Linked DNA regions of Drosophila melanogaster. The protein of the gene in region 1 interacts with the protein of each later gene in a pairwise test. Each region holds a gene or a part of one and is shown in the gene's direction. Other genes may lie near its edges.

What was found.
Region 2: the proteins of CG30109 (region 1) and CG3603 interact in a two-hybrid assay, tested with the Drosophila melanogaster proteins (one large-scale study listed by BioGRID).

Annotation. Positions count from the first base shown.
Region 1 is NT_033778.4:17,663,857-17,680,379, forward strand, and holds CG30109 (uncharacterized protein), read left to right. Parts: upstream 1-6,225; 5' UTR 6,226-6,325; coding exon 6,326-6,472; intron 6,473-6,530; coding exon 6,531-6,650; 3' UTR 6,651-6,892; downstream 6,893-16,523. Other genes in the region: eIF3c (eukaryotic translation initiation factor 3 subunit c), read left to right, coding at 2,211-2,303, 2,366-5,005; CG30108 (uncharacterized protein), read left to right, coding at 5,630-5,776, 5,831-5,950; IBIN (induced by infection), read left to right, coding at 7,244-7,369; P32, read right to left, coding at 7,709-7,950, 8,009-8,353, 8,474-8,678; Sema1b (semaphorin 1b), read right to left, coding at 10,454-10,652, 10,716-10,908, 10,971-11,981, 12,055-12,737, 13,970-14,063, 14,416-14,548.
Region 2 is NC_004354.4:2,941,087-2,958,037, forward strand, and holds CG3603 (uncharacterized protein), read left to right. Parts: upstream 1-6,947; 5' UTR 6,948-7,019; coding exon 7,020-7,062; intron 7,063-7,131; coding exon 7,132-7,838; 3' UTR 7,839-8,034; downstream 8,035-16,951. Other genes in the region: CG14421 (uncharacterized protein), read left to right, coding at 396-450, 523-1,184; CG14422 (uncharacterized protein), read left to right, coding at 2,390-2,450, 2,587-3,410; CG14423 (uncharacterized protein), read left to right, coding at 4,446-5,363; CG17959 (uncharacterized protein), read left to right, coding at 6,019-6,465; rst (roughest), read right to left, coding at 12,729-13,444, 13,567-14,115, 14,455-14,557, 14,862-15,092, 15,971-16,171, 16,375-16,869.

The DNA of each region.
Region 1 (16,523 bases):
TGGAAAGAAACTATTCAATTTATTCGCAAAAGAGTTTTGTAGTAAGCGGACATTAATTTTACAATATGCTCCATTATATTAAAATATCCATAGGAATTAAAATATTTTCAAATTGAGAGAAGGCAAATTATTAAAAATATAATATTATCGAATAAGAAATACTTTATTTCAGGAAAATATTTATCTAAATATAAAGCCATTTTTTCTGTGTAATGGATGATGACGAATTGAATGAAAAAGAAGTGCATCGGTTTTATCAATAAAAACTAAATTAAAATGGAGGCAGGAACGTGGGAGTAGTTATTAGGAATTATTCATTGAAATTGCGTAACTCAACATTTGTATTCAATCAACAGGAAATCTATGCTCGAGCAAGGGCAGAAATCGCATTTAAATGGAAATTTCTATAGTCTGTTTCGAGCATCGGTTTTGAAAATATCCAACCCATATATAGGATTTATGGGGCCGCACAAGCCGTAACAATCCAACGGAAAACGGAAGCAAAATAAACAGCACAAAAGCGTAACGGAAACAGAAACAGAACCCCAGGAAAAAGGGGCCCGTTTTTGCCGATTTGGATGTATGTAAATGCATATAAGCTTTTGCACCCACACACAATTTACGATTGCAGCTGCAGTTTCGGAGGAGTCAAGGAGCAGAAACCCGTACTATTTCACGGACCCTTTACGGATTCAAATGTCGATAGGCGGACAGGGAATTTATGGAGCTCTCATCAATTTCTCCGGATAATAAAGCCGCCATATGCACTCTCGAATGTCAGCTGTCGAAAAGCCAGGAAAAGGGCGATTACGCGAGATTAACCGATCAATTTTTAATTTGCCATTTCCGAGACCGCAGATACACACATCTCCATCAATCTGCAGTTATTATTTATTATGCTTACATTTGCGTTAAAGTGTTTTCCGTGTTACTCGTGTTTTCAAGCGATTCCGGGCGTCGCATCTCATTTAGGATGCCACTTAAACAGGATGTGGATGGGCAGAGCACATGCCACGCACACACCGCACACTTGGGCCAAATTTTGTTTACACCGCCAAGACACAACACAACACACAAGAATTCAAATGAATGAATTTATTGAATTCTTTTTAGCGGGCCGCAAAAGCACTTGAGACTCTATCGCCGGATATTGGCATCAACGCTGCCAAATCGCCGAGTACATCCGAAAAATTGAGTTTTTGAACTTGAACTGTCCGTCGGCGCGGAGGAGAGAACGCATGCGACTTGTTGGCGCGCGCGAAAACGTTTGGCTTGGTTTTGCTTTGGCCTTTCCTTGGCTGCCTGGCTGCATGTTGGCCGGACCAATTGATCCGGAGATTGGTTGGGGCGCCAGAATGGGAACCCCACTCTGTTTGGCTAAGAAATGCCGGCACTTTTGCACGCAAGCGCAGCAACATGTTGCTGGCAACTTCAAATGTTGCAGGTCACCAATGCAACATCTATGTAAGCATTGATCACTGATTATCTTTTTAACATTATTTTGAATAGTTACTTAAATGGCCACTATTTCATTTTGATGATATATTTGCTATGTAATTTAATGGATTTATTTTAAATGTACCGCCCAACCGGTTACTTGATATCGATATATCTCGAGAAGTGCCGGCATTTCGTTATCGATGAGTACGCGCTCGCATTCAGTCAAAACAGTGACTCCCTTAGAGATGGGATAGATTTCGGTAACTGTTGGTCCGCCACATAAAAAAACAAATGTTCTGTTACATTTAAAAAAATGTTTAAAACGCTCTCCTTACGAATATTAGTAGAGAGTAATCATTTCTCAACATGACAGTTATTATTAATACATAAATCAAACGCCCCGCCCCGTGACTTTGAGCAATATATATCGCCAACGAAAACACATGCAACCATCGCCCATCTCTAGTCTCTCTTTTTGATGTCTTGTGCATTCGACATCGTTTAGTTTTGCTGTAAAATAGTAAGTTTATTGTGAAATATCAAACGCCAGGTGGTAGTAAACACTTAAAAAGCAAGGCAGTGAACCGATTTCTGCCAGGGCTTCGAATGAAACAACCAAATGTCATGCGGAAATATTTGGCATACGTTTTTGCAAAACGCCATGTTGGCCGCTCAAACATAACCTCAACAAAGCAAAATCTTATGTGGCCCGAAACTAATAAATTGTGATTCCAGGCGCAGACAAACGGCCGCGTAGAAAGTCAACAAAGATGTCGCGTTTCTTTGCCAACGGGTCCGAATCGGAGTCCGAGTCCAGCGAGGAGGAGATCCAAGCGACCAACTTCAACAAAGCCAGCGCCTTCGTAAGTGCCGCCCAGATGTGAAACTCATCCATTACTAATCTATTCCTTTCCGTGGAAAACAGCAATTCAGCGACGATGAGGAGGAGGTCAAGCGCGTGGTCCGCTCCACGAAGGAGAAGCGTTACGAGAACCTCACCAGCATCATCAAAACCATTCGCAACCACAAGAAAATCAAGGATATTCCCAATACCCTGAGCAGCTTCGAGGATCTGACGCGCGCCTACCAGAAGGCACTGCCGGTCATCTCAAAGGAGGAGAACGGCATTACGCCGCGATTTTACATTCGCTGCCTGGCCGAGCTGGAGGACTTCATCAACGAGGTGTGGGAGGATCGCGAGGGCAGGAAAAACCTTTCCAAGAACAACTCCAAGTCGCTGGGCACTTTGCGCCAGAAGGTACGCAAGTACATCAAGGACTTCGAGGACGATCTGTCGCGTTTCCGTGAAGCACCCGACCAGGAGAGCGAGGCCGAGGACGAGGTGGTTGCCCTGGAGAGCGACGGCGGCGATGCTGGTGATGACAGCGACGCCGGAGTGAAGCCTACAGAAGCGGTTCCGAAAGCTGTGAAGTCCGCGCCGGCAAAGGCTGCGCCCGCCGATGATGACGATTCCGATGACTCCATTGATTGGGACTCGGACTCTGAATCGGAGACCGAGTCCTCTGACGATGAGAACCAGTATCAGAACATGCGCGAGCGATTCTTGAAGCGTACTACCGAAAAGGAGGAAAAGGATGATGACAAGAGGAAGGACAAGCGTAAGGAGCAGAAGACCAAGATCCGCAAGCGCGCCGAGGACGATGAAGATGGCGAGTGGGAGACTGTGGTCAAGGGTCATGTAGTAGAGAAGCCCAAGATGTTCGAAAAGGACGCAGAGATCGATGTTCCCCTAGTGCTGGCCAAGCTGTTGGAAATTATGTCGGCTCGCGGCAAGAAGCGCACCGATCGCCGTCTGCAGATCGATCTGCTTTTCGAGTTGAGGGACATCTCTGATCAGCACAACCTGGGAACCGCCGTCTCCGTGAAGATTCATTTTAACATCATCTCGGCTATCTACGATTACAACCAGAAGATTTCCGAGCCCATGAAGCTAGAACACTGGGCCCTGCTTCTGGAGGTAATGCAGAGCATGATGAAGCTCCTGCTGGCCAACGCCGACATTATTATGAGCGAGAGCGTGGCCGAGGAGCATGAGGAGTACGCTACGTCACCGTTTTATGTGAGGGGATGCCCACTGGCTGCCGTGGAGCGCCTGGATGACGAATTTGTTAAGCTGCTGAAGGAATGCGATCCACACTCCAACGACTACGTGTCCCGGCTGAAGGACGAGGTGAACGTGGTTAAGACTATTGAACTGGTGCTGCAGTATTTCGAGCGCTCTGGCACCAACAACGAGCGCTGTCGCATCTACCTGCGCAAGATCGAACATCTCTACTATAAGTTCGATCCGGAGGTGCTGAAGAAGAAGCGCGGTGAGCTGCCAGCCACTACCTCCACCTCCGTAGACGTGATGGATAAGCTGTGCAAATTCATCTACGCTAAGGACGATACGGATCGTATCCGTACGAGGGCCATCCTGGCGCACATCTACCATCATGCTATGCACGACAACTGGTTCCAGGCCCGTGATTTGGTGCTGATGTCTCATCTGCAGGACAACATTGATGCCGCCGATCCCGCCACCCGCATCCTGTACAACCGTATGATGGCCAATCTGGGTCTGTGTGCCTTCCGCCAGGGCAACGTCAAGGATGCGCATCACTGTCTAGTGGACTTGATGGTCACCGGCAAGCCCAAGGAGCTGCTCGCTCAAGGACTGCTGCCTCAGCGCCAGCACGAGCGATCTGCCGAGCAGGAGAAAATCGAGAAGCAACGCCAGATGCCATTCCATATGCACATCAACCTTGAGTTGCTTGAATGTGTCTACCTGGTGTCCGCTATGCTGCTCGAAATTCCTTACATTGCCGCCCATGAATTCGACGCCCGCCGCCGCATGATCAGTAAGACCTTCTACCAGCAGTTGCGTTCCTCGGAGCGTCAATCACTGGTGGGTCCACCAGAGTCGATGCGTGAGCATGTCGTGGCTGCTGCCAAGGCTATGCGTTGCGGCAACTGGCAGGCGTGTGCCAACTTCATTGTCAACAAGAAGATGAACACGAAAGTGTGGGACCTCTTCTACGAGTCTGATCGCGTGCGCGAGATGCTGACCAAGTTCATTAAGGAAGAATCGCTGCGCACCTACCTGTTCACCTACTCGAACGTCTACACCTCGATCAGCATTCCTTCGCTGGCGCAGATGTACGAGCTGCCCGTGCCGAAAGTGCACTCCATCATCAGTAAGATGATCATCAACGAGGAGCTCATGGCCAGCCTGGACGATCCATCCGAAACCGTGGGTATGCATCGTTCGGAGCCATCGCGTCTTCAGGCCCTGGCCATGCAATTCGTGGACAAGGTCACAAATCTGGTGGACGTCAACGAAAAGGTGTTCGACATGAAGCAGGGCAACTTCTTCCAGCGCGGCAACATGGGCAATCGCGGTGACCGTGGCTACAACCGCAACCAGAACAACCAGGGCGGCAATTGGCTCGGCCAGCGGCGGGATCGCAACAACCGGAACCGTAACCAGCGCGGGCACCACAAGAACAACCAAGATAGGCAGCAGCAGCAACAGCAACAAGTCCAAACGATCGACGAGGAGTAGACGTTGCTGCAACCTCAGCCCATCCTCTCTAGCGAGCGTTAGCTTAAACATCAGCAAAACTTAAACAGATCAAATTTGTAGCACTTCGACTATTAAAATGGAATGGCCATGGACAACACGTTGGGTCACATGCTTTCAGGCCTCCGATTCGGTTTCAGGCTGGGTCGGAGGTCTGTTTTTATCATGTCCATTGCATATTGTTGTAGCCAAGTCACACGAACATTTGTTTCAGCGCTCATTACGTTAAATGATAATACTAATAACTACATTTTGTATGAACCCAAAACCGAAAAAGAAACCTTAAAAACAAGAGACACAAAATCAGTGACTTTTTTTTGCAAATTTTTACCAACAACTAATATTAAATTTATATGTACTAACAAGAGTATTATTTTAGTCGGCTTAACACTTTGGCTTTTGAAAATTTAAGAAAACTAAGAATAACATTTGAATTTCGATGACAAGCTTCGTTTTCTGCAAAACTTCGGATATCGATATGCTCTTTTTTTCTCACATCTCTGAAACCTTTTCTTCAGTAGTACCGTTCGACGTACCTTTGTCACATTTTTTCGGAACTCTATAATAGGCATTATAAATTAAAACCAAAATATACCTAGTAAACAAATGAGCAGCGTTGGCGAGGATTGCAACGAGCTGAAGCAGCAGTACGATGCCTGTTTCAACAGCTGGTTTTCTGAACGCTTCCTAAAAGGTCAAATGGATGACTCAGCGTGTGCTCCGATTTTCCGGGTTTATCAGGAATGCGTCAAGGTGAGCTAATCGGCTCCCTAACCACGTATGGTTTGACCAACCTGTAATCCCCAGCGCGCTATTAAGGAGAAGAAGATCGATTTGCAAGAGATAGATCCGATCTTCGAAACCGGGCTTGAGGAGAATAATGCGAATAGATCTGATGCAAAACAGCAGCAGGCGGGCGAAAGCTGACCCCGTAAGCTGCTCCATATAGCCATCCTAATCCTCGCCAGCGTTAATTGGTGGCTGCACGCGCTACAAAATACTTGTAAAGAGAAACATTTCGTAGTACTTTGACTGTTAATAGTATCATCATGAAACATGGACAACTGATTTCGTTATAACCAGAGTGCCTTTATTAAAATAAATTAGATGTTCTTAAAGAATTGAAAATTCAAATTTCGATAGCACGTTCAGTTTCAACGAAACGTACATCGATATGCTGTGTCCCACATCTCTGATAGCTTATCTGTAGTATGACCCTCACACAAACCATTCTCACATTTTTTTCGACTTATTATTCAATAGAGAAATTATAACTGAAACTCAAAGAGCTTCACTCCACAAATGAACAGCATTGGCGAGGATTGCAATGAGCTAAAGAAGCAGTACGACGCCTGCTTCAACAGCTGGTTCTCGGAAGGCTTCCTTAAGGGCCAGACGGATGACTCGGGCTGCGCGCCGATTTTCCGGGTCTATCAGGAGTGCGTCAAGGTAAGCCCAGGTTTCAAGTTTCATCATCCAGCTGGTTGACCCAATCTTTGACCTTTAGCGCGCCATGAGGGAGCAAAAGATTGAGCTGCGGGAGGTCGGATCTGAGTACTGCACCGGCTCGGAGTACGACAATGCGAGTAGTTCCGGCGGAAAGACGCAACCCAAGACAAAAAGTTGACCCGTTACGCAGCTCCAGCATCCTGGCAACGGCATTGAATCCACAGTGGGCCAGAACCCGGGACACAATGACCTCACCGGTAATCAGCGCCGACACCAGAGTGGAGGAACAGCCTAGGTCTACCAAGTACCAGAAGCAGCTTTGGTTTAGTTCCATGACTCGTATCCTTATGTAAATTATTTAGTGAATGTTTTATAAATAAGTTCAAGTAGCGAACTATAAAAAATGTTATATTCAGACAGAATCCGTCTTTGAGTTTCTTAGAAGTATATACAAGCCTATGATTAGGTAATGGTCGCAGTTCTTATTATTGGTCGTATAAAAAAAAGCTTTTTAACGAAATATATAAAATCCATCTTAATGACAAAGTATGACATTACATGGCCTCCACGCTGATAATCCTGCTTATTGTGAAACAATAACACATATAGGTCGTACATTAATGGTAAATCCCATCGCCCAATAAACAGATCGGAGTACTTCCCCAAGAGAAAGGTCACTATTTCAACGATAAGGTGAGGCAATCTCACCTATAAAGAGGAGCATTAAAAGCTGCAGCACCACAATCTAAAGTTAACTTGCCGTTAATCAAGATGCAACTGCTGCCAATCCTCGTGCTCCTCGCTCTCCTCATCTGCGCCGCCTGCAAGAACCACGAGGACTGGGGAGGATACCGACCAAGTGACTACGATCCCAGGCCATATTTCCGGCAGTTCTAAATGATCACGAAACTCAACCCACAGGAAAATCTTTACGAAAAATCGATGCAACCATAGAAAGAAAATAAACAAAAAAAAAAACTAGGGAATTAACGTTGTATTTGTTAAAAACCAAAGCGAAGCTGATGCCGAAAAGGGTGAATTATTGGCAACCGTTTCTATAGTTTTATCTGAAACATGTATGAATGTTTTATGGCTTAAAAACTAAGTTTCACTGTCACAGTTAAACCAAAAACACAACTAATAAAAACTGTTTTAGGTGATGAAACTGCGACAGCAGACAATAGAAACTTAAAAACCTACACAACTTTATGCTTTAAGATTAAGTGGGACGAACATTCACTTGCCACCGGCAGTGAATTTGGAGAGCTTTTCCAGCAGACCAATGTAGGAAGTGTGCTCATGGGCAGTGGCTAGGTCCGACAGTTTTTCGGCAAACTCCTGACTGATGCCCTTCTCCTCCAGCAAGTTGATCAGCAAGTCGTACAAGTAACCGTCAAGCACGTCGCCTGCGACGGCGTAGACCTTATCGTTCCACTCGCCCTCGAAGATGGCCATTTCATCAATGGAGAAGACATCGTCTGAAAGGTAAAACCTGTGTTATCGGTGAATCAAAACGATTTCTGTCAAAGTACTCACTGTACTCGCCCTCCTGAGCTTCGCCTTGAAGGAAGCTGCAGGTAAAGGACAGCGTAGAGTTGCCCTTTATGATGTCCACCTCGAACTGGGGCTTGCTTCTCATTTCACCGAGATCCGGCTTGTCAGCATTGGGGTTGATTTCGGGCTCCTCCTCGCTGTCCACCGTATGGTTCACATTGAAGCTGACCACCACCTTTTCCTTATCCGTCTGCTTGGTGAGCTCCACATCGGCGCCGGTCAGTTTTACGGCGAATCCATCCAGGGTGCTTGGCACCGTCTTGCCCTTTTGAACCTTGCGCTCGGCCACTATCTCCTCGGTGAGGAACTCCACCAGTTCCCGCTCACCTGGATATAAACAAAGCGTTTAATTTTCTGTGTTTTGGTCAACATTTCGTCACCCAACGTTTGAGGTTATGTAACCGGCGGCATGGACCGCCCATGTAAGAATTTGTTGAGTTAACTTACATTTGGTGTGCACGTTGCAGCCGCACGTGCAATTAATGCTGGGCTTGTGGAGATTCAACACGGTTACATGATCGGATCCTCCGGCTGTCACCGGCTTTTTGGTCATGTGCCACAGGCTGCGGGTGAAATCGCGCTTGCCGAGAGATCCGGCACTGGAGCTGGCCAGAGCGGCAAATCGCATGGTTGCTGTCCTTAGGCTGTTCATTTTGTTATATAACCGCGACCTGGGCTTTTTACTTTAATTAAACACTGAAATGTGCAACACGCCAAAAGTGTAGTGCCTGGTGTGACCGTTGAATCTTATTCAGAAAATCACGAGGCTGATGTATTGTAGAGCCATATCAGAAGTTATCGATCATTTTTCGGCGCGAAAGGCTTTATCGTAAACTATTCAAATTTTGAAATTAGCCTTTATTGGAAAAATGATTGATTTCAATAAATATAACCAAACCATATTTGCTGTAAAAATTCAATGTTTCATAGATCCGAACCTATTAAAAGACCACATTGAGTTATGAAAAAAATGACGACTTTATTAGATTTACGAATTGCTTATCGGATGTATACAACAATATACACATTACAAGGACATACACAGTAATAAAAACTAAACACCATGAAGGGTTTTCTCTGGTTCTTGATCCTCCGAGTGGAAGACCCATTCCTACGCAATATTATCATGCATGCAATCAGACTCGTTCGTCATATATATCATTGTTTTTCAACCAAAAGGCATATCATTTCATCTTTCTAAAATTTCAATAAAATCTATCACAATATGAGAAATCATTACATTACGTTTTTTTTTGTAAGATTTAAAAATATTTTATATATAGCTTTTATCGGGATTTTCCATTTTTAAGACTTTCTTATGTTAAGATTTAGACATTAGGCGTACATATACGTATAAAAATATATTAATTACGATGAAAATTGCATTTTACACGTTTTAAAAATAAAATTGCCATTGTACATTGTATTTATGCAACTTCTTTAGTGGGACGGACAACAGCTTAGAAATTAAACATAAAATTATTAAAATGCTGATTTACGTTGATTGCCAACCAAGCTCATTATTTCCATCCAAAGCTTACAAGTTTAGCGTTAAGGCCTAGATTCGACACGATTTTATACTATTTATAAGGCTTGCTGTTGTTGCAGTGTTCATTTATTTTCGCTTTCTTGTGCGTTTTTCCATCTGATGATGTGGGGGCTGCGGTGTCAGTTCTTATCAAACAGCCTCATAGAAGTTTTCTTCGTTTCTTAGCCTAGTTCGTACTTTTAATTACATTCTATGTTCAATTCCTTATAGAGCTTATGTTAGATACAATTTTACGCTTTTGTTAGCCACAAAGCATAGAGCTTTAAAGTCTCTGTCGCATTCTGTTAGTTCTCCACAAAACAAACTCATATAGAATAATTAATCATTCAGTCTAACAAAATACTTGTTGAATATTCGATTGAATTTCGAGAAATAATTGGGGCTGGTCCGCTTCGGGTTCGATTTCGGTATGCATGATATGTGATTAAATTTGTACAGCTCTAATATTTGCACTTAAAGATTATACATTAAGAGTACACATAAGGGGCGACACAATCGGGCTGCGTAGCCAAGAGCCGGCACTCCTATTTTGGACAGCAAAGGTCGACGTCAGGGGAATGCGGAATGCTTCGGGTTAGCTCCAGGCTGCGGCAGCCCGCACACTACGTTGTCAATAAATTTAACTAAATTTTGACAAAGAAACTAAGCTTACGCAAATTTTACATCAAATTAAATTACAATACAAGCTAAGTAAAAAAGACGCAACAGCTCTGCTTCCTATCTTTCGGATGCGTTTCAAACGCATCCGAGACTGTCGTTTACATTATTCGCAAATTGGGTGGGGGGTTACTATAACTAACAGCAACATAAACAACGAAAATATGTTTTAGAGTATAGAAATTCGACTAATTTTGCAGTTGGCTGCCCTCACAAGGCCACTAGATGTAAGTGCGTTTCACTTTTGTCAGCGTTGACGTTTTGCAGGGCAGCTCTTTTTCCAAATGTTCCGTGGAGTTTTTGCACTCATGACTGCGATCCTTTTCTAAATCCAGATTAGGTGTTTTTTGTGTGGTCGTATAGGCATTGGAGCCCATTAACAGGTTGATGTCTTTGCCAGTATTTTGATGTTTAAATTGCCTGTCAAAACCATTTAATTAGAATTGTCCAATATGGATTTGCATCTTCCAAGATAAAACTTACATTGGCTTGCCGAAATGATTGCGGTGACTTTCATCCATTTGGGCCTCCATCAGGCGGCTCTTAGCCTTCACACAGCATATTCCTGCGATTCCACCCACAAGGAAGGTAAAGAAAACGATAGTTGTAAGTAGCATGAAGCTGGGCGTTGAAGCATATTTGATTTCATCTACACTGGCCGTAGACTTTTGGGGATCTGTCAACGAAATGCGAATATTAAACCACAATATTCCTAGGAAAATAAATATTAGTACTAACCGTTCAAATTCGGCATAATATCGTCGGGATCCATGGACGTAAGGGTGATCTTGTTCAAACCAAAGTCATCGCCACCAGTTGGCTGTTGTTCCAAGCTTGGCTGATTGCCCTGCGACGAGCCCACATTGGAGTACAAAAGCTTCTGCTCCTCTGTTGGCGGTGGAGCCATGGTAACAAAGCTTACTGTTTCCGCACCGGGTGCATCTCGGGGAATATGAGGACATAGCAAGGCAGCGGCTTTCTTGGTGCTATTCAAGCTTTGCAAATAAGTCTTTGTTCCGAACTTGTGCTGACTCGTAGCCAGGTTCTTGCATTCGTGTGTCTGTAAGTCCCAGGCGCAAATGGGATCCTGGAGACTTAAGCAGCCCAGACAGTCGACAATGTGAGAGCAGTGGTGCAGGGGCACGCTAACCAAGCTGCCATCGCTAACCACAACCAACGAGTTTTTCGAAGTGGAGATCACCAATTCCCTAATTGGCGTTCCAAGTGGAAGGACCTGCATCTCTGATATAACCACTGTCTTCAGGCGATCAACAGTTGAGTTCGGGTGAGTGCTCAGTATATTGATGAACTTGGTCACCTTGCCGTCATCGGTGCCACTGTATATAACATCGTAGTAAGCTCCACTTAGGGACTTTACCTGCGGATGCACTGCGATCGCAGTAAGTCGGTGGTGCAGATTCACCTTGGTCAGCAGCGGACGACCGTGCACTGCTGGCACAGCCTCCTCCATCAAGGGATGGTTCTTAATGAAATTAACCGCGATGCTGGTCAGAGTTCTAGAGTCCTCAACGCACTGTCCTGGACGTGGTTTCGGCACTTGCTCACGCTCCACTGGCAGCCAATGGGACTGTGAATCTTTCTGCGACTTGAACTCTCCATCAAAGGCGGCCAGTATATCGTCTACGTTAAATGCGCATACGGCCGAGCCAGGAATGGCATTCACAGAGGTTGTGAAGACAGCATAAATCAGTGACTTGGATCCGCTCTCCACAATCGGACTAATGGCCTCTGTAAATGGAGTTTGCAACAATTGAGATTATAATTTTTGTAAAGAATATCCAAAACGTCTATTAAAACTTACGGATTTCGTCAAAATAGAACGGAAACTCGCCGGGCACCGAGCAGTTGAGTCGCGCCTTAAGGAAGGAAGTCCAACTCTTGCCGTGACTGTAGGGACCACCTCTATCGTTCTTGCAAACCCTGGCGACGCGCGAATAAACGGCCTTGCCAAAGTTCATGACTTCCATTGAGAGTTCGCGGAAGAAGAACAGCACGTAACCGTTGCGCTCGATGGCGCCAACAAAGTCCGGCTGGTTGAGTTGCTTGAGATCATATTGTTCGGTACGCAGGTTCTCCCTGTAGATGAGAGGATCTCCACCCGAAAAGTCCGCCACGGTGGCGCTGTACAAATGCCCGTCGGCGAAGGCGTACGTGCTATTGTGGGCGGGGCTGTAGGGGCACAGGCCCTGGGCCTCCACATCTCGGCTGACTTCGTAGCGCATGGCATGGGCGTGACCAGCAGAGCCGGCCTCCTCGGATGACACTTCCACCGGCGTGTAGTGACGACAGCGCGGCTTATACGAATTGGTGCCGCAGAGCAGCACCTCGCCATTGGGACGCAGTGCATAGACGCGAAGGTAGTTATGGCAATCCCACTCGTGCTTCCCCTTTAGGGCACACAGCTCCCGGTCCGCATCCGTGCTGTGCCACTCCAGACGCGCAATCTCCTTCAGGCCATTTAGGCTCACATTGTAGATGACGTCCCTGCAAATCGAGATAGAGAACAATTGAATAAACAAATGCGAGAATTAATACGCCGATGGCGTGTGCCTGCCCAGAATGTGAAATGGAATGGAAGCCAGCCAAGTACGGTGACCAAAAATAAACGACAAAAAACCCGTGAGTTGAGAGCTTCGTGACAGGAGCATACAAATGTTTGACTGAACAGTGCCGGTTAAAGTAATAGTTTTGAATAAGAACTATTGATAGATGTGTAAGCAAAGTACCTTACTTTCTTTGGCTCAAATACATTTGTTAATACAGCCTTAGCCTTAAGCAACGATTTTGCGACATTTCATTTTATTTAAGTAATCAAAAGCTTAAAAAGTAAACACTTGTTAGCAAGTTTTACAATTAATAAACAACGTGTTTTTTCATTAGCGACAGCCCAGGGTATTATTATTTCTTCACTTTGCATTAGAGCTTTTTCAAGAGCACACTACTATTATTTTGACCGCATCTGTTTTTACGCCCCGCCGACAATCATATCCCAAGGTTGCCTGTGTGCAAATAATTAGAACTTGTACACAATTGTATAATTCAGCGTTTTAAGTGGCTAATTATTGTTGCTGCTAATTTGTTGCTATGTTCTTTATGGCACCAGCACGTCTGGGGCGCAAGAAAAATATGATAGATCGAAAGCTGGTTTGCATTTGTCGGTCCATTTCAGATCGCCGATAGCTGATTATTAGTCACCCAAATGGTAGTTTGCGTGGCTCTCATGTAAATGGTAATTATAAAATGTACATTATCGAAAAACCTATGCATTTAATATTTTTCAGTTAATAAATGTATATACCAGACTTCGTTGAAACGTGATAAAAAAAATAATGCCTTCTGACTTAACTTTGTTCATGAGCAATATAATTATATGGATGAAACTGAGCAAGTGTTATTTATTCCAGACCTTTGTATCTCGCCAATGCCAAATCACTTCGACTTCCCGGAAAGGGAATGAGAAATGCTAGATTTGCACTTGCCACTAATGAAAAACGAATACCAAGCCAAGCGGCCAATAAATCGGTAGAGTAAAGTAATGCCAAATGGCGAGCTAATTATTCCGAATCGGACGCTGTATAATTGTGTTTTTATAAATATTTAAACGTGTTCGTGCCAAGTTTATTTGCGCACAGGTAGCTTGCTCGGTAGCGGGAACTTTTTTATTGCTTGCCAGAAATCAAAGGGATCGTAAAAGAATGTTAAAGAAATTCACTCACTTGGCACCAACTAGAACAAACTCATCGTTGTGGTCCAAAATCTTGAAATAGTCCGTCGAGTTGCCTATAAAATGGGCTAGGACTTTGTCTTGTTCTGCAAAGAAAGAAAGAAGCAAAGTGAAATGTTATTGACTGCTGGGATTATATAACTTGTGCGTTTACTCGTGTTTTTTTTTTTTTTTTTTTTGAGATCTTGCACAATTTCATTTTAATTTCTGTTTAACTCGATTCAGAGGAAATGCTAGCGCTTGTTGCTGCTGGCATTGCGAAAATTCCGCCTGATAAGCAGCTTGGAAAATCGGAGCTTAGCTTGAACAGCCTCGCTTTTGTCATTGATAAACCAGCAGCAACAAGACCGGAAAGCAAAAACCCAAACAAATGACACAAATAAACAAATAGTTATAAAGTTAGATTGAAGAATAAGGATTCCAACTACTGCCACATACTTGTTTGCAAATCAGGCTTCACGTCGGGCATCCAACCTGCCACGATCGTCAGGCCGGATAAGGTGATCAGCAGTATCATGGGTATCGCATTAACTAACATCGCCGCCGATGAAGGTCTGCTCTTGGAGCTCATTCTGCTGGCTTGTAGTAGGAGATGCGCGAAACTAGTACTCCACTACTCCTCCGAGTTCTGATGATTCAGCTGCTTTTTGCTCGTGGTGCCAATGGGGCTGCCTGGCTGGCTGGTTGGATGGCTGGCTGGCCTCTCCGACTGCTTTTAATCACTGACGCCTCGCATTCTGATGTCCGATGTCTGCCATTGTCGTCGATAGTTGTGCTGATTACTGGTGTTATTGTCGCTGCTGCTGCTGCTGCTGCTGCTGCTTCAGCATCTGGCTATAAGTATTCGAGTGTCAGCGACAACGACACAATGATTTACGCCCAGCAGAACAACTTGTTGGTTTTATTTTAATGCAATTAGCTGTTGGTGGCAAAAGGGAAAACGCAAAACCTGCAATTGAAAAAAACAATGCCATGGCATAAGGTGTGTTAGAAAATTATTAGAATTTTTTCAGTGAGCCGCGGCGAGTGCAATATCATTTATCGAGCGAGCACATAATCAGTGAACTTTTGACTAATCAAACCGAAACAGTATGTAAGTTGGCCAAAGAGCACGTAGACAGCAATCGTGTTTGATTTGAAACGCATAAAAATTTTGTTTATATCCGCCATAAATTTGTTTGTTTATCATTTGGGTTTCCCCTTTGTCTTGAATCTGCTTTTATTACCGAATCAGATAATTAAATCCACTTATATAACGGCTACTTGTGAATTCTGCACACTTTCTTCTCGCCAGTTTCTTTCCGGCTTACTTGTGTTTTGTGTCTTGTGTTTTCGGCTGTTTTCGTTTTTGTTTTTTTTTTTACTATCATGAGTTTGACCAGCGGACCGCGAACCGAACGTGGGCTAGACTCAATGAGCACTGAACACCGAAATGAGCATGAAATGCGAAAAAGCAAACAACGTAAGGCAACCGCCCACGCTTTGAGAGCCACTGGCGAGCAGTTTGAGCAGCACTTGCTGCTGTCTCTCTCTCGCTCCACCTCCTTCGATATCCCTCTCCGTCTACCTTTCGGCTACAGCCAATCCTCCCTATGTAGAACACATTCTAAAGGGCGTCGGAAAAACCCAGGGTGAAAAGTGTTTATCTTTCAATCTTCATGGACACTTAACTTCTGGTTCTCGCGCCTTGGACTCCCTTAAATTCGGAACCTACAAAACTTGGGTTCTAAAAACATTTTTAGATCACATAGTATTGTTTTGGGTACTGGGTATTACTAAGTTTACTCAACTCTTACAGATTAAATTCGTTAATTTTTTTTCTTAAACAATGCATTATTCATTACTTGCATTACTTCAATAAAATATATATATTTGTCGTATGTGATAATTTTATATTATTACTAATGTACAAAAAAGTAGAGACTGATATCTCTTTGGCTTAAGTCATGCAAAAATTGACTCAGCCTTAAATAAATATTATTTAGTAAATTTATCTTTTGAAAGAGAATAAAATTTTGAAATACAAAATTTTTTCAAAAATTATAATTTATGAATTTATTATAATTATAACAAGGAAATATATAAGAAACGTAATAGTTTTTGCAAGGAAAGCCTCACTGTATGATTCCCAATCCCAACCAATATTCCGCGTCCTGGCTGACATGTCGTGTTTTCCGAGCATGACTCATGCCGCCAGTCAGGTTTTCCTGCTTTTGTTGGGAATCACGTGCGGTATTTTCCGCCAATTTCCCTCCTAATCAGCGCTGAACTACGATTTTCAGGACGTGCCGCTGACGCTCTACAACTGACTACTTTTCCATCTTTTTTCCCGCGGCGAACACCGGACATTCGAGCGGATACATAGGTGTGTTTTCCTCATTCACACACACACACGTAATTTCCATGCGGGTTTTCAGGTTTTCAGTTGTTTTTTTTTTTTTTTTCTCAAGACGCACACTCGAATGTTATAGTTTCTCACGCACCCAAAAAGTCGGTGGGTTACACATGGACAACTTTTACCTACCGACGATTCGGATCGGTTTGGC
Region 2 (16,951 bases), on another chromosome or scaffold:
TGTCGATTCGCGAGCTATATGCAAATGATTAGCGGCGATCGATCGGATGGCTGAGGTTACGGGTCAGATCGCGATTATTTATGGCATTATGCAAAACGGTTACAACGCCAATAGGCTGGCTTTTTCTTTGCCCTTTCTTCGTAGGCCCAAAAACAAACTAGCTCTGTCTCCTTTGCTCGGCTTACACATCTCTTTTTTTTTTTTTTTTTTGATTTTTGCATATGTTCCTTCTCTTTAACAAGTCCATTTGTTGTAACCTCTAGGGAACTAGGGCTATGTAGGGGCCATGGTTACATATAAATATGCCGCGGATCGACCCAAGAAGTCAGTCACAGCAGCTCAGCCATCCAAGAGATACTCAGATTCCAGCCAAGCTAAAGGATAAATAACTCAAGATGCATTTGTTGAAGGGACTTTTGATCGTGGCGTGCCTGGCTGCCTTTGCCAGCGGTGGGTGATCTAACAAACAGCGAGATTATCAAAAGTGATTAACAATGTATCGCATTTTTATCTAACTCACAGCCAAGCCCCAGAACTTCCAGATCTTCGGTCGCCAGCGAGATGAGCCCGCCGCCCAAGGACGCCTGAGCGCCACTCAGCTGACCGATCTGTTAAACAGCCTGAAGGGCAGCAGCTCCTCCACTACAGCGGCTCCCACTACCACCACCTTGCCATCCACCTCCACGGTAACGACCTCGCCAACTGGACCCACCACCTCAACCGGCACATCGACCACCACAACCACACCCACCACCACCTCACCCACTGGAACCACCACCGCTCGCCAATTGGAGCCGCTCGATGATCAGGAGGACGACGACGAGGAGGAGCAACAATTGGGCCACCATCAGCGCTTCCAGCTGGAGGATCAGAACGATGACGAGGAGGAGCATACCCAGGTGGCCCGCTCGCAGGCCAACCGCCGTCGCCAGGTGAACGCCCGCCGTCAGCGCCAGCGTCTGCAGCAGAAGTACCGCCGCCGCCAGCAGCAGCAGCGTCGCCGTCGCCAGCAGCAGCAGCAGAAGCGCCGCCAGCAGCAGAAGCGTCGCCAGCAGCAGCGCCGCAGGAGGCAGCAGAACCAGAGGCGCCGCCAGCGCCGTAACCGCCGCACCAACATGCGCCTGGTCAGCCGCTTCCGCCAGAGCACCCCCAACCGGAACCGCGTCATCCGCATCGGCGCCTAAGGCGGGGATATCCCGGAAATCGATTTGAAACGACACCGAATAAATTGCAATGATAGAATAGTTTTTGTGGCTATCTTTGGGAAAGTGGGGAGTCGGGTGCCAAAAGACATTCGTCACTTGAGCATATTGATATGGATCCATATATTAATATGGATCCACAAATGTATCTGGTATATATCATACCTCATATATTTGCAAAATATCACCATCAACATATCAACATGAAAACGATTTTCAATCGAGCTTCGATGCGTAAGCTCTAATCTCTTTGATAAAATCTCAAAATTCACAATTAACCCGAACCAAGTGAATTGATACTATACGGTTTTCTAATTTAAAATTATGTGAAAAAGCCGACACATTGGCTCAACATTTTTTTTTTTAGGATTTATAAGGATTTGAAAAGAGATAGCAAATGGGTTACCACTTTAAAAGTGAAGGTAGTATTTTTTTTATAATATAGCTTTGAACTGTGCTATCTTTATTAGCCATTTGAAAAAAAACCGTTGTGTAATACTTCAAATATCTAAAGCGGCCTAATAATTGAAATAAAAATTGTAAATTTTTAAACATAAGCAATTCACAAAACATGAATTTTATAATATATATAAGCCTATTTAATGATCCTTAGTTACAAAAACCCTTTAAATGAATATTTCCAAAATCCTATGCATCCTGAGTATTGACGAAGCAGAAAGCTGAAGAGCAAAAATATTTGAACCAATATTTCCAGGATCCTATGTGATGAAACCTTCGAAAGCAAAAATTCATTGGTATATAAACATTTTCAGTTTGCATTAACAGAACGTCATTGTTTTGAGGGCAAAACCTAGTAACTTATTGCAGGAATTTTGAAATCTGTGTTTATCAATCAGATTCCAAGTGAAATACTATAGCGAACTTTGGTTAATATATGTCGCATGGGTCAAACTAGTTCAACGATCGGCAAGCGGTCACCAAAATTTATGCAAAAACTTTGGCGAATGTGCAAATTTGCGAAAAAGAAATGATAATGAGAATTATGGTTGCCGATTCTGGGTTGGATTGTTGTTGTTAGATCCGCAACTGGAGCGTTGGGTATATAAACCCGGCTGGCCGCTGGCAATATCACAGTTCATCGAAGACCTTCCCCCAGGCAGAGTCCCAGCCAATCCAATCCTAAGGTCAAGACCAGTTCCGCAGGAAATACCAAGGAAAACCACAAAATGAAGATCTTCTACGGAGCTCTGCTGGTGCTGGGCACAGCAATTATTGCCCAGGCGGCTGGTGAGTTTAGTTTTTACTCGGTTTTACGAAAATATCAGTCACTACTTAAGGTAGAGACATTTAAGCGGACTACGGAAGAGATGATTGACCATTATTGAGTTTTATGAGCTACATTAATGTTTTCATCAATTACCAGTTGCCCGTTCCAACGACGAGTCCGCCCAGGATACCGCCCAACAGTCCAAGTACCGCCTGTTCAAGCAGCCAGTGCAGATCGAGGCACGCAGCTTACAGCAGCTTATGTCCCTGAAGAACCCACCTTGTCCTCCGGCAGCCACCACAACAACATCTGTGCCCACCACAACCACAGTGACGACCTCACCCACTGGGCCCACTACCACAACTGGAACGTCCACAACAACCACCACACCCACGACAACTTCCACAAACCCTACCACCACCGCTCGTCGCTCATTCAACCAGAACAATTTGGTCGACGGAAACGAGGACGACGACGATGAGGAGTTTGACCAGGATGTGGAGGAAGAGAAGTATCTGAAGGACGAGGATGAAGTGCAGGAGGACGACCAAGATGATGACGATAACGAGGACGACGGCTTCCAGCTTGTGGCTCCCAAAGCCTCTGCATCCTCATCCTCTTCTATTCGCCGTCGCAACAGCGCTAGCAGCTCCTACGGATCGTCCGGCAACAAGAATCTGTCCAACAGCGAATTGATGCGCGAAATCGAACTGCGCCGGCAGAAGGAACTCAACGAGCAGCTGCGCAAGCAGCTTGCCAGCTCCCGTCGCCGTTCCAACCAGAGCCGCCGTCGTGCCCTAAACAAACGCCGTCGTGCCCTTCGCCGCCAGCAGCAGAAGCGCCGCCGCCTGTCCCGTCGCCAGCAGCAGAAGCGTCGCTCCCAGAACCGCCGTCATCGCAACGCCCGCCGCCGTCAGCGACGCAACAATCGCCTGAGCCGCCTCCGTCAGCGCCGTCGCGCCAACCGTCGCCGCAACTGAGCGACCAGTGACCAGCAATGACCTCTGAACCACGACATGTACGATTGAAATAAAGCGAATATATATAGAAAACAAAAATGCATTGTCTTATCACTATTCTCATATTCAGTTTAGTCAAAGAATATTCTATATATGCCTCCTCGAAATGAATTGCAACTATCATCTCATATTAATAAGCCCATAATATCTATCCTACTCGATAAAACCCAACAACATATATCCAACATATATATTTATTATATCGCACATATTTATATTCCGTATTAGATAAGATTTGATTTATGCGATAGGAACACGGTAATCAAATGGATAGTAGCAGGAAAATGCTATTTATTTTATATGGAGTTATACATACATTCATATGTATTTACTCAATATATTAATAATAATAATTTATTTCAGGCACCTAAAAGACGAAAAGAACATAGATTGAATGATTCCTTTTTTTTATTAGATAAAAACATGTGGAATATTGAAGATCGTTAGGCGCACATTTATGGCACTTTGTGGGTCACTTTCGCAGGCTTTGCGCCACCTTCGACCCAACGGCTTCAATTAGAAATGGATTTCAATAGATTTTCACTTTTTTTCAGCCCACTCTAGCAAAAGCCCAAGGCGCTGCAGAAACCTGAAGACCAAAACCCCAATTCCAATACCAAATCCAAAAACCGAAAACCCAAAGGCGTTCCGCTTGGCCGAAAACCCATGGGATGACCGGCAGAATGATGATGACGGAGAATTTGGAGAATATACATTATAGCTGGCAGCGATTTGACTATTTGAGCCCTACCACGGATCAATTTAATTTCAATTGTGTACACAGATTTACCGTTCGGCACTTACTTATTTGCATTCCACAGCGTATTTTGCGGGACTATAAAAAGCCTCATTGCTGGCCGATAAAGTATCAAAGCCTGATTGTCCAGCCATCGGCGAGCAACAGAAATCGCAGCGATTTTGGTCTATCCGAAAAGTTCTCTTCTTTAACCAGAGTAGTTTCCCGAAGACCCAAAAGAGTTTATAAATTTATCCAACATGAAGTTGTACGCCATCGTTATCCTTTCGGCATGCTGTCTTCTGGCCGCACAAGCGGCACCCGAGAAGAAGATGGCCCTGAAGTCGCGTCAAGTCGACCAGGATGCCAAGGTGGGCCAGGCCGCTTCCAGTGCTGGTGCATCGACCTCTGCCAAGGATCCCTCCAGTGGCAGGCTGTTTCTCAAAAAGTTCCTAACCTTCAAGAACCTGTTTAGCAGCAACAATCAACCCGTGATTCCGATCATTATCACCGGCGCCGGAACCGGGACTAGCACAGGAGCCTCACCCACTTCGCCCACGGTGACAGTGACCTCGACAGGCACCATTCCCTCGGCCACTGGCACCATTACCACTTCGCCCACAACACCCACCTCGACGACATCGAGCGCACGGCAAACGATTATCAAGGGTGCCCGATATGGCAGCAACGATGACGACCAGGAGCAGAATCAGGAACAGGATCAGGATCAGGACCAAGAACAGGACCAGGAGCTGGCCCAACCCGCACAGGCCTACCCCGCCGAGTTGATGGACGAGCAGGCTCTGCAGGCCGCCCTGGCCGCTGGCGCCCAGGAATACGAGGTGGTCACCACTGAGCACGAGGTCCAGGGAACTGGCGGAGCCACCGTCGAAGGCGGCAAGGCCACCCAAAGCAATAACCATATCAGTCTGCGACGCAAAGGCGCCCGCCGCGGCCAGGTGATCAGCGTTCGCATCCCACCCCGCTACCGCCGCTACTTCAAGAACGGCCAGAAGGTGATGCTCAATACCGGTAGTCGTCCCGTCTCCAAGCGTCGCGTGGTTCGCAAGCGAGTGCCTGCCAAGAAAATCAACAAGAACAACCGGAGGCGCAACGGCAACAAGAAGAATCGTCGCAATCGCAACAAGAACCGTCGCAATCGCATCACCGCCGTCTAAGGATCTAGGATTCAAGGTCAGGATCCAACGATCCGACACATTCCGGCAAGATAATTTTTTTTTCTAATTTATTGTAGCCTAACTTGCTACTGCCACACTTCCTGCGGCAGGATAAACGATAAATAAAGCCCTTCAAGAATAACAAAACTGCATTCTTACTTTATCTTTGCGCGGTAATAATACTAATAATAAAAATAGTAAATTGTATAACAAAATAATAAGATTATAAGAGAATAAGAACGGGCTAAAATATAGTTGCGAATAGCAAGTAAGGTAGGAATTAAACTGAAGAAACTGAGTACATACCTTACCCACAATTTACTTTAGGCTCATTTACATCTTCATATTAATTGCTTATACAATTTTTCAAAAAACATCCCTCTAAAGATCGGAGGTTACAGCGATGAAGCACCAAAGATCAATGATCGTTGATCTTCAGAAGCAAAGAAAGGCAAAAACAATAGTTGGTACAATCTCCTTTATGGGCATAGAATCAAAGAAAAAACAAAAGTCTGTGAAAAGTACGCACTTGACCCACATTTTTGGGACGAAATCACCAAAGAGATCAGATCGTGACGAATGATGGGGCAATTTTCGGGTATTTAAGCGGCTGTTTAGCCCGGGGCTCAGTACAAACATGGCTGGACAGCGATTTATGATCGTACTGATCGTGGTTTCAATCTTGTTACCATCAATTCCGGAGGCTTCTGCCAAAGCCTGTGGATCGAGACTCCAGTTGCGGGCTCAAAATGATCCCGTTGACCTCAGTCGTTTGAGCGAGAAGCAGCTAAAACAGCTGGCTGAGCAGTTGGCAAAATTCAAAACGCAGAAGGACGAATATGGCGGTGATCTGGTGGAGGAAGAGGATGACCCAGAACAGGATCAGCAGCTGGAGGATGCCGAGGACGATCACCGCGGCGGAAGTCGTCCATGGAACAGGGTGCAGCGGATAATCCGAAGACAGCTGATAAAAATACCCAAGAGATATCTCAAGAAGCTCCTAAGGCAATTTGGATTGGCCCGGAGTGCTGGATATAGCGGTGTCCGGAGTGCGAACTTGACTCCCCAGCTGGAGGAGTACTACCTAATACCACTGCAGTGAAATTATTGACCGGAAATAAATACAAACATTTTGAAAATACAACACTTTTACGTACACTCTTTTGGGCGCTGGGCTAAAAACAATTGCTGAGTATTGAGTATTGCTCGTACTCAATACTGTTGGCTATCAAATAGCCTTCCTTAAAGCAAAAATGAATGGAAAATATTAATATTTTTAAACATGACAAATTAAATGAATTTCCATTTAGTTGCCATCAGAGACGTAGACGTATTTTTTAAACGAGCCTAAAACTATGTTTCGGCAAACAAACATAAAATTCATATACAAAGCACAATTTTTTTTTTAAGCGCTTTTGTGATCTTTGGACTCTTACATTTTTTTCTTGATAAACATATGGTTCCACCGAAAAGCTCTGACAACGATCGTGTGGTAAAAAGCTTTCCACCACTTCACTTATGTTTCATTTGTTCATAGCCAATCAGCTTTGGAACAGCTGTTGGCCGGCGATATATTTTAGTGATTATATAGTTGTCGCACGACCGTTGAGGAGAAAACAAGTGAAAACTGCTGTTTACTAAGTCATTTTTAGAGCCATGTCAGTGGGAGTACTAGCTGGAAAAGTAGCCCTGGTAACAGGTGTGTATTCGTTTGTTTTCTCTTGATATCTGCTCTTTATATGGGACTCTTCTAAACTGGAGTTTTTAGGTGCCGGATCAGGAATTGGTCGTGCCACCTGCCGCCTTTTGGCCAGAGATGGTGCCAAAGTGATCGCCGTTGACCGCAATCTAAAGGCGGCCCAAGAAACCGTACAGGAATTGGGCTCTGAGCGATCTGCCGCCCTGGAGGTGGACGTTTCCTCTGCCCAGAGTGTTCAATTCTCGGTGGCCGAGGCCCTAAAGAAATTCCAGCAGGCACCCACTATTGTGGTCAATTCGGCTGGAATAACCCGAGATGGTTATCTGCTCAAGATGCCCGAACGGGACTACGATGACGTATACGGGGTCAATCTGAAGGGCACCTTTCTGGTTACCCAGGCCTATGCCAAGGCCATGATCGAGCAGAAACTGGAAAACGGCACCATTGTGAACCTCTCAAGCATCGTGGCCAAGATGAACAACGTGGGCCAGGCCAACTATGCGGCCACCAAGGCGGGCGTGATCTCCTTCACGGAGGTGGCCTCCAAGGAGTTCGGAAAGTTTGGCATCCGTGTGAACTGCATCCTGCCAGGCTACATAGACACGCCCATGGTAGCGGTTGTGCCCGATTCTGTAAAGCAGGAGGTGGTACAACGATGCCCCTTGGGCCGATTGGGTCAGCCGGAGGAGATCGCCGAGGTCATTGCCTTTTTGGCCTCCCCGCAATCGTCATACGTCAATGGGGCTGCCATCGAGGTCACCGGGGGCCTTAAATAATCGTGAAATGCATATATGCAATATAACTTTCGTAGATCTAAGGCATCTAACACGCAGCTTGTATAGATTATACTTGCCTGGTTGTTCCATATTAGAAAAATGGATTCCCTATATATATATATATATATATATTGCAAGAGTAGGACCAGATTATTGCATTTACTTGTCAAGCCATTCGTAAAAAGTTTTTTTTTTTATCAACGTTAACATATGGTTGCTAACAGCTGTATCACATTTTGTTGCCAGGAAAAGCTGGTTAATAAGACTAGTTACACTTTAAAAACGTATTATGCTATCAAATTACTAAACATGTTTTCCAATCAGAAATTTAATCTCACACCTGTTGATATTGTCTTCAAATTCAAACACGCCATCTATGAGTGATCTTTCTTCGGCTTATCGATACTATCGTTTAAATCGTAACATGACAATGACAATATATATAGCATATCTTTAGGGGTAGTATTGTAACATCTTTTTTATTGATATGCCCATAAGAATGCCAAATATTTATGATCAGAAATCTATGCTCTAATAAGTTAAAGAACCGCTACTTCACCATACCATAGCAACATTGCGACATTGTGACCACAAAAGGACCGTCGAAGTGGGAAATGGAATGTTGCGACACGGCTTGTTGTGGTTTATTGGCAAGGCTTTTGGTCGGCTATTCGTTATTTGGACCCACCGAAATGTACAATATTAATACATTTCACAATTCCCCAGCTGCTAATTAACTCAGTCGCTTACACACACAGTCGCATTGGGGGATAGATATATGCACGTCAGGCGACTCCACACATATGTTTGAGTGGTGGTTGGGTTGTTTTGGGTTTCGGGTTTTCCGCCTCTGTGGTCGTGCGTGCAATTTAAATAATGAAGACATTTTATTAATTCAAGAAATTCAACTCTCCCGCACTGGCCACGCACACTGGGACACAAAAACACCCACCCACGCTCAGTCACACACACACACACACACACACACACACACAGGGGAAACACACATAGAACAGCAATTACAGTGGCCACCCAACATTAAGCAACCTCCCACCACCGACACCACCGCATAAAGGCTCACACAAAACTTGCCAGCCATTTTGGGGTTAGGGTTCACGGACGGAAAAGCACCCAAAATGCCGCCGCCCATCGCCCATCGGCCACCATCCACAAAAACCACCAGCTGGTAGCTGGTGCGTTTCCCATTTCCTTTGGTTTTTAGTGCATAGTGAAAAACAAAACATTTGCTAATCATATGAAGCGACCCTGAGCTGCCGCTCTTTTTGCTATCCGTGCACTCAAACAAATAAAGGAAGCCTTTTTTTGAAATCATCCAAAGATAACTTCATCAAACAGAAAAAATATACATTATATTTCAGGAGGAACCTCTCAGCGGAACCTCTTAACAACGACAGCTACCCTTTCAAAGCACATAAGAAAACACAACCTCTTTGATTTGCAATATTATTTATTTACGTGAGATCCCATGTTTCCAAGTGGGTCAATGATTTTTCCGAGTGCTTTCCATCCACCTGTCTCTGTCGCTCCTTCGACCACTCTCCTTGTAGCAATTAACAACGCAGTGCGACACAAGCGGCGACGACAAGCCAACACTTGAGCCATAAACCAGCCCAACACGACCCCCGGAACGACCCCGAACCGAACCGACCCCGAACCGAACCGAACCGAACCGAACCGAACCACAAACCCCCAATCCTGTACCCAAAAAAAAAAAAAGAAAACCCAAGGCTTCGGAGCGACCAGCGCTTTGGCAGTTGCCATATCTCATGTTAATGAAATCGTAACTCTTCGGGCGCCTCGTGTCCGTTTTTTGCGCCATCTCCAGTCCCGTCCTCCGTCCTCCCCTTGAAAAAAAAAGTCATCCCAAAGAGGAGCCGAGGGAACCTGAAACCCGAAAGGATGTTGGATTGCAGAGTGATTAACGCGCCGGCAAAACTCCGCACGACTTCACGGACAATGCGAATTGCTGTTTCTGAAGAAGCTTACTCGCAACTTTTGCCAATTGTCAACGAGGTTGGGGGCTTGGGAAACGCCAAGCAATTTTCCAAAATAAATAAAAAAAATACTATAAGCATACATATGTGAGGAAAAATATATTGAATATTCCTATGCAAGTATATCAAAGTGAATATCAATGTGTACAAGGCTTTGCATTGAATATTGCCTTAGTAGAGTAGCATTAGCATTAAAGAAACTGAAGTGAAGCTGGTGCACTTTCATAAAGGGTTCTGAAAAGGATTCCAACTAATGTCAGTTTCTGTGGCTTTACTTTCACCAGTCTCTTGACATTTGCCAACTCACGTTAGTTTCAGTTTTCGAGAGTTTCCCCTTCGCTTTCGCAATGAGGAAAAAAAGAAAACGCTAATTAACACAGCCAACCGCAATTGCAACTTCCTTCTGGCTAAGTGCACGTATGTTCGAACCACCCGCCGCCCCAAAACATTCGACCCCACCGCCCCCAGCGAGCCACGTGTGACAGCGAGGGTCGTTCGGTGACAAAGGGCAACTAATTTAGTTTAATGGGCGTCGTGCGCGACTTTGTTGCCCATAGCCGCAGAATTTCTTGCGGCCAACACTTGCCTCAAGGGGCGGCGAAAAAGGGTCCTGAAACTGGTGGGCTGGGGTGGGAAAGGGGGAAGCGGGTGGAGTGGTGAACTGGTGGGTGGTTCAACGGTTGGGGGGCCACCCTTACGCACTCTCATTAAGCATTTTTAGTCGAGCTTAGCGAGCCGTTTGTTTGCATTGTCAACTTCACAACTCTGGTCAGTCACACTGAGTGAAAATATGGTAGAAAGCGTTTTCTGGAATAAATTAAAATTAAATTAAAATAAATCAATAGCAAAAAAACATAATAGAATTCAAATCTAGTATACAGAAAAGAGTTAAAGACGTTTTTTCTCTTATTTTAACCTCTTTTATTTTACCACTTGCTTATCCTCGAAAGCCAAATCATTCTTAAATACGAAAATATACCCACCTTTTTCCACAGTGCAGTAGCTCCGACAACGGCGAGTCGACTTGCCATAAATTAACACACATGACTGGCGGTGGTGGTGGTGCAAGTGGTGCCAGTGGTGGAACATTTTCATTTCACTTTTGTTTGTTTGATTTTTGGCTTTTTGCAGCTAACTGACAGTTGGTCCTTCCGACCTGGGCAAATTAAAAATGTTTTTTGCCCCCTACCGTATATTTGTCTTTCGTCTTTGATGTCCAACTCTCAATTCGCTTTCCTCGGCTTTCTGTTTTTTTTTTTTTTTTTTTTCAATAAATTTTTATTCAGTTTTTTTTTTGCTTTTTGTTTTCGTGTTTAACTTTGTGTGTGTTTCATGCTGCTTATTTGCTTTTATCATTTGCATTTTGTAAACAAAAAACATTTGTTCGTTTCGCGCTTAATTGGCGACACTAATAAAATACCCACAGCTAATAAATATAGCAAAATGAAATAGTAATGTTTACTTTTCAGGGGCTCCTTAGACGAAATACGCTGGCTTATCAAAATATAATGCTTAGGCCTATGAAAAAAAATGCATGTATGTATATCTAGGGCTAGGTTCTATACTTTAAATATGCGTGTCTATCATTAGTTAGGCTACAACTAGGATAATTAGACCGTTATACACTTAGAAGTACACTTAGCACAATTGAACTGACGAATTGAATACGTTTACGCTCTCATTTTTGTTTTCTTTTCCTATATTTGCATGGGCGTTTTGAGATGTATGGGCGTGTCATAAGTTAAGGCGACTGTCAAGATCTAGCTTCTATATTTATTTAATCGTAAAACACACTATCGAATCCCAAGTCATAGCTTAGAATTCCGGCGAGAAAAGATAATGCTACATAATTCAGAAGAAGTTAATGGCGGGCGGTACCGATCCAAAGACTTTCCCACCCCCTACTTAAATACTATCAGGTACTTTGGCATTTCGTTCGCTTACTCGCTATCCATTCAACTGAATGTCTTCATGCTTGTTGTATATATATATATCATTAACATTTAGCATATACTATAGCTGTGTATACATAAAATTGAATTCTTTCAATTACCATTCTATATATTTTTTGCGGATTATATAGGGGCAGCTGTTTTTGACGAAGGAATATTCTTGGGATTTCAAAATCTCTGGGAGAGTTACGCGTTACGAAATAGTTCTAAAGTTTCATGTACACATGTACACTGTACAAAAAATAGCAATCAAATTTTTTAAAAATAGAAGAGCATTAAGTTTTGAGAATAAGAGACACGGAAATAATATTTGAATCGAAAATAATATTTGAAACATTATATGAAATCAGAGAACATGTTCAAAACGGCTCTCGCATATCCCCGCCCCCAAGAAAACCAGTTTTTTTCTTTCTTGTAACTGGAGGTTAAATCCCCAATCAGTTAACTAGTACATTACGGCGTTTTCTCAACAAGCAGTAAAACTTTCTAATCTTCCTAAGATTTGTTTTTTGTTCTGTAAATGCTTAACACTCATTCTTTGAAGCTTAGTCTCTCTCTAGATCAAACTGGGGATATTAGCCTACTGTAAGATCCTTAAGCTAAGAACACAAAAACGACAAAAAAAAAAAAAAACATAAAATAAAATACCCTAGACCTAAGGACTATAGAAATGATGATGCTAAAGATCAGCTTACGATTATGCCTATATAATCGGATGTATGTGAGCTAAGTGCCTAAACCTAAGCAATTCGAATTTTTGGTAGCTGAAAAAACGCACCACCACGAACAGTGATACCCCCCCAAAAGCAGCCGCCGGGGCCTCGGTTCCTTGTGAGATCAGTCTTAGCGTGGCTCAGTGGGTCATCGTTGTTGTTGGCAGTGGTGGTGGTGGTGGTGTTGGTGGTGGACGGTGCTGGTCCACCCTAAACGGCAGTGGGTGGCGGCAGCAGCGACGAGTTGGAGGACCTAAGATAGGGATTGCCGTAAATGGCGCTATAGCGGGGATCCACACTCAGGGCCATCGAGCTGGGCACCACCACGTGGGTGGTGGTGGTGGTGGCGGCAGTGGTGCTCTGATTGCTGCAGCTGCCATTCGGCGATGAGCTAACCACCGAGGCGGTGGTCGACTGCAGACTGGGCAGCCCGTTGTCCTGGCGAATTTCACGGGATCCAATAATACTGCCAGTCAAGCTGCCACCGCTGCTGTTGGTCAGGAAGGTCATCGGCAGGGTCGTCGTCTGTGTGTGGTGCTGGTGGTGGCTCTGTTGCTGCTGCTGCTGTAGTTGCAATTGGTTCTGATGGTTGTTCTGCATAATGGTCGAGCTGCCATTGGATTTCGTCGAACAGGTGGTCAGGTATTGCGGAGGCGGACTGTAGTGCGTACTGTAGTCGCCGTAGGGCACATAGCCGCCCGAAATGTCCACCTTTAGATCGCTGTAGTTCGAGGTCCGGTCGCCTGGTTCCAGTTTGCAGCTAACGCCGCCATTTTTCGTGATCTGATGCTCGCTTATCACATCCGCTGGCGGCAGCTTGGTGCGCTTCTTACACTTGATGTAGACCACAACCAAAATGGTCAGCACCAGCAGGAAGGCCACCACCGAAATGCCGCCCACAATTGTCATCAGCAGGGAAACGCTCTCTGCAAAGAACACAAGAAAAGTGGGGGAAAATTCGTTTTAATGACGGGCTAACTAAGAAATTGTACGTTTCAAAAACGGAAAAAAAAAACCATTTTATATAACTTTAGTATGCGATACTTACTCTTGGCTTGCAGCTGAATCTCGGCCACGTCGTTGCCGTAATCGTTGACCACCGTGCAGTTGTACTTTCCGTAGTGGTAGGCCTGGCTGTCCCTAATGATGAGCGTGCTCTTCACGCCCCCCGGCACGGCATCAACCAGAATCGAATAGTCGTGTCCCGATTCCGAGCTGATCTCCTGGCCGTTGAACGTCCACGAGACGTGACGGGCTCGAGGAACACTGCTGGCAAAGCATTCGATCCGAGCCGTATCTCCCACCAGTCCGTACTGTGTCCTCTGCGATCCAATCGCCGGCGAGCCCTTCAGATAGACATAGGCATCTGCCGAAATCTCAGCGTATCCGGGTACATTGGCCTTGCAGTAGTACCTTCCAGCCGTCTCATTGCTCACACTGAATGTGAGATTTGTGCTGGTGCCGACCACCCGGTCACTGGGATGCTGTATCCAGACGATCTCCGGCTGCGGATTGCTGTCCACCTCGCAGGTTAGGGACACCACGCTGCCAACGTCCGCCTCCATTGACTGTGGTCGCTGCCGGAAACTGGGAGCATCTGCAATTTAAACGAATAAATAATATATATTAAATTGGCTTATTTTAATGCATATATATATATATATATATATCTTAAATATTTATCATTGTTCAACACATGTTTGAAGTTTTGCAAGGAAAACGTCTAAATTGAGTTTGCCAAAAGTGTGATGCCCAAAGCTATATTATTGACTTATGGAAATTCACAAATGTCAACAATTTACGTTATGTTGTATTTTATTCTGATATATTCGGATATTAATAACGTTTCAACATTAAAATGCCAGTCGCAGTCGCACTTTTGTACTCCTTATACAGAAAATCTTAAATGAATTGTAAATTATGCTGGACTACTTACAGCTTATGTCAAGGGTTTCGCTGTCCTCACTCTTGCCCACGGAATTCTGCACCTCGCACTTGACAATCGCATCGTGGAACTTGCGAGTCACATTGCGTATCACCTGCAACGATGGGAAAACGGGAAGAGAGAGGGTCGATCCATGAGTTCCAGTTGCGATTAATTGTGGGAACGTTAGGCCTTTCCGGTGGCGATCTAACTGGTTTCAATATAATTGCCAACATTATACAACAGCAGGGGCAGCATTTTAATCGCAATAGTTGCTCTAATTATGCGCCAGCCTGCCAAAGTGGAATGTGGACCTGTTTTTCCGAGTTAAAATCTCGGGGGAACGATTCAAAGGAGAGGCGCTGCTAAAGCGCCGAGGAAAAATCAGGAGGAGGAGGAGGAGGAGGAGCGCCACTTACCATCTCTGTCTTCTGGCCGCCGATGATCGGTTCGTCGTTTATGAACCAGCGGTACCGGACATCGCTGGGATTCGCATCTGCCCGGCACTCCAAGCGCACCTGCGAATGCTCCACAATACGGGAACCGGTGCTCATGTGGACACTGCCACCGCCTGCACCACCAACCGAACCACCTGCACCGCCGGGAAGCGAGCCCATCACATTCACCTTCACCTTGGGGGCATATTTCACCTGAAAAAAATTACGACGCATATTAAATGGAGTGCAAACTCTTTAAATTTTTTGATTGTATATATGAGATTGGTTAAACCGTTTCCTATTCAAAAGGCCCTCTTGTGCTACCAATTTATGTGCAATGTCCTTGATGACCAAGGAATTCCCATGCGTACGCTTCAAGCTGGCCCTCAATCATCTCAATCATCTGGGAATCCCGGCACTCCTTGGCCAGACATCTTCGTCAGGGATTTGTCAGCGCCATGGACATGTGACTACCTCGATTGCAACCCACCTTGCCGAAAACCAGGCCATTGACAAGTGGGCTGAGGTCAGGCCTTTGTTGGCTCCTCACTTTCACACCCCGGACGAAATGTGGGGTTCGAGGGAAACCCGAATGATGGGCGCCTTTATGTCCGGGCATGAATTAGCCCGTCAGTGTCGAGCCATGTCCGGCACAAAAGCCCATTCAAAAAATACTATCCCCCCGGCTTGCAGCTGTCCTCGGGAAAGAAGGGGAATTCCGCAGCGCTTCGCATCACGTAAAATAGATAGCAGGCTCTTTCCCATCTCTTCTGCCCCCGTTCATGCTATAGATAAGGTAACCTCAGTCTGCGGCAGCAGAATGCACTCGAAAAAATTTGTTTGCAACTATAGCTGATAAGAAATCAAGAGGGCCTTTTCAATTCCCTAATCATATTTAATCTATTGACCTAAGATCATCTACCGCCGAGCAGCATCCTGAGAGAAATTTCAAATTTTAATTTCTGTCTTAGCCTAAAATTTGTTCTAGTGTAAATGCTCATGCAAAACCTGCAGTGACCTGTCAACAGAATGACCATCGGGGGGGGGAGGTCAGCTTCTGGTTTTTTTTTTTTGGCCGGGGGACAACTCACCTCGACACGTATTTTCGCCGAGCGATAGGTGCGGTCCGCCGTGTTCTGCGCCTGGCAACTGAAGTTCGTGTTGTGGTGTTCCTTTTTGGGGGTCAATCGCAGGACGGACTTGGCCGTAAAGCGTCGCTGATCGGGCAGCGGTATCACCGTGTACTCAATGTTATCCGTAAGGACATTGCCCAGGCCATCAATCCAGGTAATCTGCGATGAGTAAGAGAAGAAGGGGAAAGCACGGGTGGTCGTACATTGTTATTTTTCACAATAGTTTCGATAAAGTCGGTCCAAAAATAACAGCTGCCATAAGAGCATCTAAACGAAAGCCACCGGACAACAGCCCTTTTTCGCTGCATATTTTTAGGCACTTGTATGGGAAGAAGAAAATGTAATCAAATTGAGACACTTACCTCAGCAGCCGGCTTTCCGCCAACCGAAACGCACTCGATCTCCACTTTGCGATCCTCGGTGGCATAGATGACGTCGCCCTGTGTGATTTTGGGCGCCTCGGGCGGAACGAGCACCGTCAATCCGGCGAATGTGGACCTAATGGCTGGTTGGCCCTCGGGACCTGGGCTCACTTGGCACTGGTAACGAGCATCGTCGTCCAGCATCACTGGATAAATGTCCAGGGAGTAGTCACCCTCCTCGTCACTGCCCACCATCGCGTAGCGTTCGAATCCACTCAGATCCCGGGACGTGCCAAGTCCAAAGTCATCCTTGGTCCATTGGAGCGTGCCCTGTTTGTTGATCACTCGGCAGGGTAGCGTTACCCTGGCCCCAACCACTGCCGTCTGATCCTGCGGCTCCATGGCGAACCGTTGGTTCTGATAGCTCGTGTACGGCGAGCTCCTGACCATGCCCACAATAGTGGCCAGCAGGAGCAGCTGCATCGTGTGCAACATGTTGCTGAAAGATGTGAAAAGCAGCACTTGAATCACTATATCTTCAATTAAAACAATTTCATCGGCCTTTTGGTAATTTAGT